2 linked regions of the Callithrix jacchus genome follow. The protein of the gene in region 1 interacts with the protein of each later gene in a biochemical or structural test. Links are inferred from orthologs where the notes say so. Each region holds a gene or a part of one and is shown on either strand. Other genes may lie near its edges.

What was found.
Region 2: the proteins of RPS6KA3 (region 1) and PEA15 form a complex in vitro, tested with the Homo sapiens proteins (2 studies listed by BioGRID). The link is inferred for Callithrix jacchus from reciprocal best matches to the Homo sapiens genes RPS6KA3 and PEA15.

What each region holds. Positions count from the first base shown.
Region 1 is NC_133524.1:20,690,909-20,694,719, forward strand, and holds part of RPS6KA3 (ribosomal protein S6 kinase alpha-3), read right to left. Parts: intron 3,430-3,811; coding exon 3,365-3,429; intron 3,288-3,364; coding exon 3,185-3,287; intron 2,232-3,184; coding exon 2,107-2,231; intron 141-2,106; coding exon 15-140; intron 1-14. UniProt on the Homo sapiens protein: Serine/threonine-protein kinase that acts downstream of ERK (MAPK1/ERK2 and MAPK3/ERK1) signaling and mediates mitogenic and stress-induced activation of the transcription factors CREB1, ETV1/ER81 and NR4A1/NUR77, regulates translation through RPS6 and EIF4B phosphorylation, and mediates cellular proliferation, survival, and differentiation by modulating mTOR signaling and repressing pro-apoptotic function of BAD and DAPK1.
Region 2 is NC_133519.1:20,158,212-20,162,563, forward strand, and holds the start of PEA15 (astrocytic phosphoprotein PEA-15), read left to right. Parts: upstream 1-1,261; 5' UTR 1,262-1,410; intron 1,411-2,753; 5' UTR 2,754-2,842; coding exon 2,843-2,951; exon of another isoform or gene 2,952-3,111; intron 3,112-3,850; exon of another isoform or gene 3,851-4,044; intron 4,045-4,352. UniProt on the Homo sapiens protein: Blocks Ras-mediated inhibition of integrin activation and modulates the ERK MAP kinase cascade. Inhibits RPS6KA3 activities by retaining it in the cytoplasm. Inhibits both TNFRSF6- and TNFRSF1A-mediated CASP8 activity and apoptosis.

The sequences.
Region 1 (3,811 bases):
TAAAAAATATTTACCTTCACTGCAAACTCCATGTTTGTAGCTTTATGTATACATCTCTTGCAAACAGAGTAGGAGCCAACTCCAATATCTTCTTTTACTTCATATCCATCAGTAAACTGAATACTGTTCCTGTGTAACTGCTACAAAAAATTATAAATTGGTGAAGAGTCCCATAATACCTTTAGTGCATTTTATAATAGGGAAGAATGTTACTCAGCATGCATTGTTGACGCTCTACATATAAATGAGTAAGAATAAATACATCTTTATAGTACTTATTCTTCTATAAGTGATTTTGGAAGTGTTTACTAATGAAATGTACAGGAAGAAATGTGCCTTAAAAAAGCTTATGTTAAAAATAAAAATTGAATTTGCACAATAGAAAAAGCAGAGCTACTTGATGTGAGACCTATATCCTTGTCTGTGATTCAGCCTCATTCCACTTCTGAATTGGCTATAAGTTTTCAAGCACCTTTGCAAATGAGAGGTTTGAAACCTATGTATAGAAGAAAAGGATTTAAGAGGATTCAGAATTAGAACATCTGAATTCTTGTCTCAGATGTACCACTTACAGGCTGTGTAACTTTGAGCCTGTATTTTCTCAGAGAGTAATGCTGAAGATTAAATAAAACAATGTATTTGCAAGCAATACTTATTAGCGCATTTTGGACTTTCAGTAGCCACACCCTCCCTTCTTCACCCTGAAGTCATAGCTTTATACAATTTCTGCTAAAGAAGCTGGTCATGGGTTAGGGACTAATAACATATACAGCAGATGATAAACAGCAACTTACTGATTCCATAAACAGGCTGAGGAAAGTTGTGCTGCCCTTTGCTATACTGATATGAGACCTCCATGCCCATGAGCTTTGTATACTATGCATTAAAACTTGAATTCTGTAGAATATACAAGTTTGTGGTTTCTATGTTAGGTACAGAATTTATAATTTAAAAAGTTGCCATACATTCATGTGCTTGCATAGTGAATGGCACAGACTATTCCAACATGAGCTCTGCTTAAAAACCAGTGTTTTAATTGGTTTTCTACAAAGTGGAAAGCAGCGTAACTGACTCATGAAAAATCTTTAGAGCAAAAGCAACTTAATCATCAAGCAAATCCAAGTACAAATTATATACTAAAAACAATCCACTGCTTCAAAACATATATCTAGTTCCCTTTGATTAGAAAGATGACTTAAGATTTGAGTTCATTTTTATTTCTTGTATCTTTCTAAGGCAAACATTGCCAAACTATGGTCACTGAGCCAAATCTGATTTATTGCCTGTGTGTGTAAATAAAGTTTTATTGGCACACAGCCATGTCCACTTAATTATGTATTGTCTGCAGCTTCTTTGTGCTACATAGCAGAGTTGAGTAGTTGTGACAGAGCCCATATAGCCCACAAAGCCTCAAATATAATCTGACCCTTCACAGAGAAAGTCTGCTGACCCCTGTTCTAAGGCATCAAAGAACCAGAAGACCTCAATTCACCATAGCTGACCTGATGGAGGCAAAGGGTGAAACAAACTCAGCATGAAAAACATTTTGAGGCACAGGAGAGGACATAAATAAAACAGCTCAACTCTATTTTCAAGTGACATAGGTATCTAGGATTTTGGCTCTTGCAACCTTTTCGATGATAAATGAAAAAAATTTCAAAGAGTAAAGTTAATGATATAAAATGAATTCTATTTTATTTTATTTTTTGAGACAGAGTTTCAACTCTGTCACCCAGGCTGGAGTGCAGTGGTGCAATCTCTGCTCACTGCAACCTCCGCCTCCCAGGTTCAAGTGATTCTTGTGCCTCAGCCTCCTGAGTACCCAGAATTACAGGTGTGCGCCACCACGTCCAATTCATTTTTGTATTTTCAGTAGAGATGAGGGTTTTACCATATTGGCCAGGCTGGTCTCAAACTCCTGACCTCAAGTGATCCACCTACCTTGGCCTCCCAAAATGGTGGGATTACAAGTGTGAGCCATTGCACCCAGTCTAAAATGTATTTTAAATTGCTCATTTAAAGTCAGCAGAAAAAAATCTAATTATTCACAGAATGAACTATATCTTACAACATTCCAAATCTAAAATTATTTAGACATCCACTCACCTGAACAATTGAATGTACACCAACTGTCTGCATAGCTTGGCTTTCATCGTCTGAGGTAATAGCAACAAAACTAAACCCCCGAAAAAGCTGATGTGCATTAGCACTAGGTGGAATGCCAGGTGAATCTGAAAAGAGTAAGAAGTGACAAGATTCATTTGAAAGGTAACTAAGGGAAAAACTGTTGACACTATGACCTTTTTCACTTATTCTGGAATTCTGTTTCTCAGGTACACAGTATATACCTCTTGCTTTCCAGGATACCTGTGAGGTACTGTATCAGATCTTTTCTGATTGTGTATTGCCATTACAACACCAACATCCTAGTCCCTTGGAGCCTAGAAAATAGCTAATTCATTTGAAGAATTAATTGATGAATTATAGGGTTAATGATATTCAAAATTAATGCTGTCCCATGGAATTTCCTGAAATGATGGAAATTTTATCTTTACAGTCTAATATGATAGCCACTAGCTTCATGCAGCTTTTTGACATTTGAAATGTGCCTAGTGTGACTGAGAAACTACATTTTAAATTTTAATTAATTTAAATTTAATTAGCTACATGTGGCTACTGGCTACCATTTTAGACACTGCGGCCCTCAATAATAACCCAGCTGGGGTGGAACAGGGGAGACAAGGTGGATCTACAGCAAATTTAGGAGATTTGAAGATAGCATAAAGGTTATCCTGGAAAAGGTTTGCATTTTTTCTTTTTGAGACCGAGTGCAACTCTGTCACCCAGGCTGGAGTGCAGTGGTGTGATTTTGATGCACTGCAACCTCCACCTCCCGGGTTCAAGGGATTCTCGTACTTCAGCCACCCAAGTAGCCAGGATTGCAGGCGCATGCCATCAAACCCGGCTAATTTTTATATTTTAGTAGAGACAGAGTTTCACTATGTTGGCCAGGCTGGTCTCGAACTCCTGGCCTCAAGCAATCCGCCTGCCTGGCCTTCTTCCCAAAGTGCTGGGGTTACAGACGTGAGCCACTGTGCCCAGAGTCTGGAAAAGATTTTCTGATTGAACAAGAAAAAAAATATATTTGTTATCTTATATCTGTATTTTCACATTTTCTCCTTACCTTTTGGAGTTTTTGCAGTAAACTCAGGATCAAAATAGAATGTATCTTCAGGCCTACCCGTTGCAGGTTTAAATGGTGGATGAATTTCTCTTCTATACAGTTTCTGGAGGAAAAAAAAGAGACTTAGATATATTTTAATTCTAATGAAATATTTCAAGCAAGTTTTCATTCTATACTTACATTCCAGTCTATTGTTGAGAAAAATGAATGCCTTTTAATTTCTTCAACTCCATCTGGTCCTGCACCTATCAAAAATGGATTCATTGGTAATTTTATCTCAAGGAGAAATATACATATTGTTCAGCCTTTGCTTTCAATACTTGCCTAATTAATTAGTTACTTTTGAGACAAGGGCTTGCTCTATCATCCAGGCTGGAGTGCAGTGGTGTAATCTCAGCTTACTGCAGCCTCAACCTCTCAGGCTCAAGCGATCCTCCTACCTCAACCTCCTGAGTAGCTGGGACTACAGGTGCACACAACCAGGCCTGGCTAATTTTTGTATTTTTTGTAAAGACAGGGTTTCGCCATGTTGCCCAGACTGGTCTTGAACTCCTGGATTCAAGTAATTCTCCCACCTTGGTCTCTCAAAGTGCTAAGATTACAGGCATGAGCCACCATGCCTAGCTT
Region 2 (4,352 bases), on another chromosome or scaffold:
CCAAGGAAGGGGTGGAGCTAGCACACACCCAAGGCCCAGTGTCTTGTTGTCTCCAGACCCGAGCCTTTCACTTAGAAACTACAAGGAAATAGCTTTTGAGCAAACACGATATATACAAAGGCAAATGATTACGGTGTGCCAGGGAATGCTAGGGAGAGGAAACGGCAGAGAAAGGCTGTGAAGCCCACAGCAGCAGGAACTTGAGCCTCTTCTAGGAGTGGTGTGGACCAGAGAAAGGAGGGGCTCATCGGAGGTTTCTGGAGGAGTCTCCACCAGGTTGAAACTAAGGCGAGATGGGGTGATCCTGTAAGTGGCACAAACACTGAGAGGATCCCCCAACCTGGGCCTGCTGGAGTTCTTGGCAGGAAAGACCCACCCCGGGACAGAATTATTTCCAGGGCCAAACCCTGCCCAGAGCTGAGGCAGAACCCCTTAGGCTAGAGATGAGGGTGAAAACAGATGCTTCTCCAATTCTCCCTTTCCTCTTTCAATCTGGCTGAGAGTCTGGGGGAGGAAAGTCCCTGGGGTAGAGGGGAAGTGAGAGCTGCCACAGTGGGCCTGGGCAGAGGGGCAGAACTAGGAGACGGAGCTAAGTGTGGCTCTGCAAGTTGTCTATATTTGCATGCTGAGCTCACTGCTGCTCTTTTTCTCCCCAGAAAATAAAATTACATCATGGTAGGGGGAAGGCAGGAGTGGGGCATGTTTGGGAAAGGTGAGAGGAACACAAGAGGCCCTGCAGGCATCACCCTGGAAAGAGAAGATCCAGGGCTCCTCAAGTCCCTATGTGGCCCGGACCCCCCTACCTTCACTCCCAACGTGGATAAGTCTGATCAGTCATTTACCACGGCGCCCCTGACCCTTAAGGCAAGGAAAGAAGTTTTTACAAATACCAAAGCCGGCAACTAAGAGAATCCAGTCCCCAAAGGCTTTCCAAACCCCTTAACTGAACTTATTCTGTGCTTCCCAGGGGTCCTAGCCACCGTGGTCATCCAAAGGTCAAAAGGGGAGTAGGGTGCCCTGCTGGGAAGGAATTAAATATGAGGATTGCTTCGCAGTTCAGGGGGAAGAGTCCGCCTGTGCTCCAGCCCTCCGCCCAATTCTGTCCCCATCCTAGGAGTCTTCCAGAACCCCAGCCCCTCGGTCCCCCGCCCCCTCCTGCCTCCCCCCTCCCCCCCCCCACGCCATTCCCCGCCCCCCGCCCCTCCCCGGCTCTGACATCACCGGCCAGCCGGGTGGAGTGAGCGGCGCTGGGCTCGGGCTCGGGCTCCGCGGGCGGAAGAGGCGGCGGCGGCGGCGGCTGAAGCGGCGGCGGCGGCGGCGGCGGCGGGAGCCGAAGAGGAGGTTCCGGACGCTGCTCGGGAACCGGGGACTCAGGAGTGCCCGCGCCCTGAGCGCTCAGCTCCAGAGGCGGTGAGAGGGGCGGGGAGGAGACGTGTTGCGGGAAGGGGCAGATGTGGAGGTCTCGGCTTGGAGGGGCGACGACCCGGGACACCGGGGGCCGGACGGGGAGCGCGGGGACCCCGGACGGGTCCGCCTGTGTCAGTCAGGCCCCACGGGGTCCGTCCCGTGGTCGGTGCGTCCCGAGCGCCGAGCGTGTGCTGGAGGCGGCGTGGCTCCGGCCAGCCCGGCCACGCTGAGCTGCGGCTCGGGAGTCGGACCGGGGCCTGGGGATTAGGATGCAGCCTGCTTCCCGCCCAGCCGGCTCGGCCAGGCCGGCGCCCGCCCCTCCCTCCCCGCCCTGGCTTCGGACTCGCCTCCCTGGCGGTCTCTCGGCCCAGCCCTGTCTCGGTTCCGCGGACGGCTGGTACCGTGTGCCCTCACCCCCGGCCCGCTGCAGCTGGGGTAGAGGTGGGCTTGGCGGAAAGCTTGTCCAGAGGGAAGGAGGAGCTGGGGGTGTAGAGGAGTGATGTATCTAACGGAAAAACCCTTATTAATTTCATAGAATCCGTGTCAAAACTGACAAGGAAACACGCACACCTATAAGGCACGCCAGCACACACAGTGACACACAGCCATGTGACTTATACACATCGTCTAGCACACTTCAAATCACAAACGTCCCTGCACTACGCATCCGGCCACCCACCACACCCCCACTCTGTGGGGTGGGGCATCCCACGAGGAGTCTTCTGAACTGCGGGTTCCAAGTCATCAGTCCAGCAGGACAGCTGAGTGGACAGAAAGGGCCACTGTCCCCAAGTCCATCCTGATTTTCTGACAGCTTTTCCCAGCCCCTGGCTGCAGATTGTTCCTCTTTAAAAACAGTGGGGAAAGATAGGAGAAAATCTTAGTATCATTCCTCTAAAACAAGGAGACAGGATTTTGGGGGCTAATGAGAGTAGGGGCTTCTGGTGGCCTCTCTTCCTGGGTCCAGTTAGGGTTTAGGGTGCTGGGAGTGGCTAGTTTCTGGGTAAGAGTGGCCAAGGGATGGAGGAGGAGGGGGTGGAAGAAATGGAGAGGAAAATGAGTATGAGTCAGCCAAGAATGGAGCCCAAGTCAGAGAGAATGAGAGGAATGTGTGTGAGAAGCAGACAGACATCTCCAGAGAGGTCCAGAGATAGTCAGGGAACCAGGGAGAGGGAGGAAGTGAGAGACGGAGATGGTCAGAGAAGTGCAAAGAGTGCTGGAGAATGGACTAAACACATTAGGGAGGGTGAAGGTGGGGGGAACCACTGGGAGTTAGGGAAAGAGGTTTGTGTGTCTGGGCCCCAGGCTGTCAGAGCGATTAGCTTTAATTGCGCTTCCCTTTGTAGTTAAATACTCCATTGGGGAAATTGCCAGTGATGCCCCAGGCTGCAGGCTTCCCTGGTCGCCTACTTCCTCACTTCCGTGCCTGTCGTGTATGCATGTATTATCATGTATGAAGAGGGTCACGGAATCACAGCGCCTCACTCACACGGACCCTCACAGATCCTCATGCGCAGTGTCACGATGGATATCTTCACCAGCTGGTAGGCAGCCAACCACTGAATCTCCAGGCCACTCCCACCAAACTTGTGTTTTGTGTAGCAGGGATGCTCACCCCTTCCTAATTGTAGCTCTGAGTATTCAGATGGGAAAGCACAGATCTCAGAAGTCCTACATATTCATGGCTACTGCTAAGTTGGATAGGTGAGTAGGACATGCTAGAAGGGGTAAAAGCCTATAGAAAGGAAAGGAGGAATAGAGAGACTGAAGGATTAGGGGGAAAGGATATGGATGATGAAGGGAGATGGAGAGAAACGGAAATAGAGGCAGGGAGGGCCAGAGCAGAAGAGCGGAGAGAGAGGTGGGCTGGGAGAGTCATAGGCCCCATTCCCTTCCTCCTGATGCCCCATCCTGGGTCTGGCTCTTCTCTAGACTAAGGGCTGAAGGCTAATCCCTGTCCCCATGCCCACAGGTAATCCATGTTCCTTCTTGGACTGAAGTGAACATTTGGGAGCCCAGGGGTCCTGCCTCTCCTCACTTCCAGGCTGACCCTCGAGCCTGAGAACCCCCAATTTCCTTGTTACAGGAATAAAGACAGCCCCCCAGTAAAGCTGGATAAAAGCTTAAAGAATAAATCAATTAAGTATGATATTAAAGAAAATAAACTATAGGACTGCTTTAATTTGGGGCCCAGGTATAATTTAAAATAGGAAAGCTGAACCCCTACTCTCTCCCTTCCAACCCCTCTGCCTCTCGTGATTACTTCCAGCTTCAGGCAAAAGACTGACAGACTTGAGTGCCTGGAAGTCCCCTCCTGCCCAATACAGGGACCTCTAGCTGAGGGGTGGGATGGCCCCTCCCCTCAGCCTGAGGCAGCTGCAACAGATGTGGAGGAGGGAGGGGTGCAACTCCTAATCTTCAGGCTTCCTTCTCAAATTCACAGAGGATTTGGAACCAAACATTAGAGAGAAGGGATAATCTACCACCACCTATTGTCAAAAGGCACAGAAATTCTTTTCGTGCTGCCGCCTCCTCCACAGGTGGTTATCCCAATTGCCAGGCTTCTCAAAGCACTGGCAGGGCCCAGCTCTTCTTACCCCAGTGCCCATGGAGCTCCCACCTGCCCCACCCTAAAAGGTCAGTATATGATGATCCTTACCTCCTGCCCCTCTTCCCCAGCATCCTCAGTTGGTTTGACCTTTGTCAGGGTTGTGCCGGGGGCCAGCTTGGAAGGAGAGGGAGGCAGGAAGGAAGGAAGGTGTGAGGAAGCGGTGAGCCGAGCACAGAAAGCTGGGAGGGAAGAGGACTGACTTCCTGGCAGCCGGGGCTCCAGTTCCTGATTCCTGCCCTCGTATCCTGTCCCACGAATGGTCTCCGCCCAGGCTGCCTGATGATCACTGAGCAGTTCTCTGCACTGCTCCAAAGATCGGGAGGATTTTTCAGAT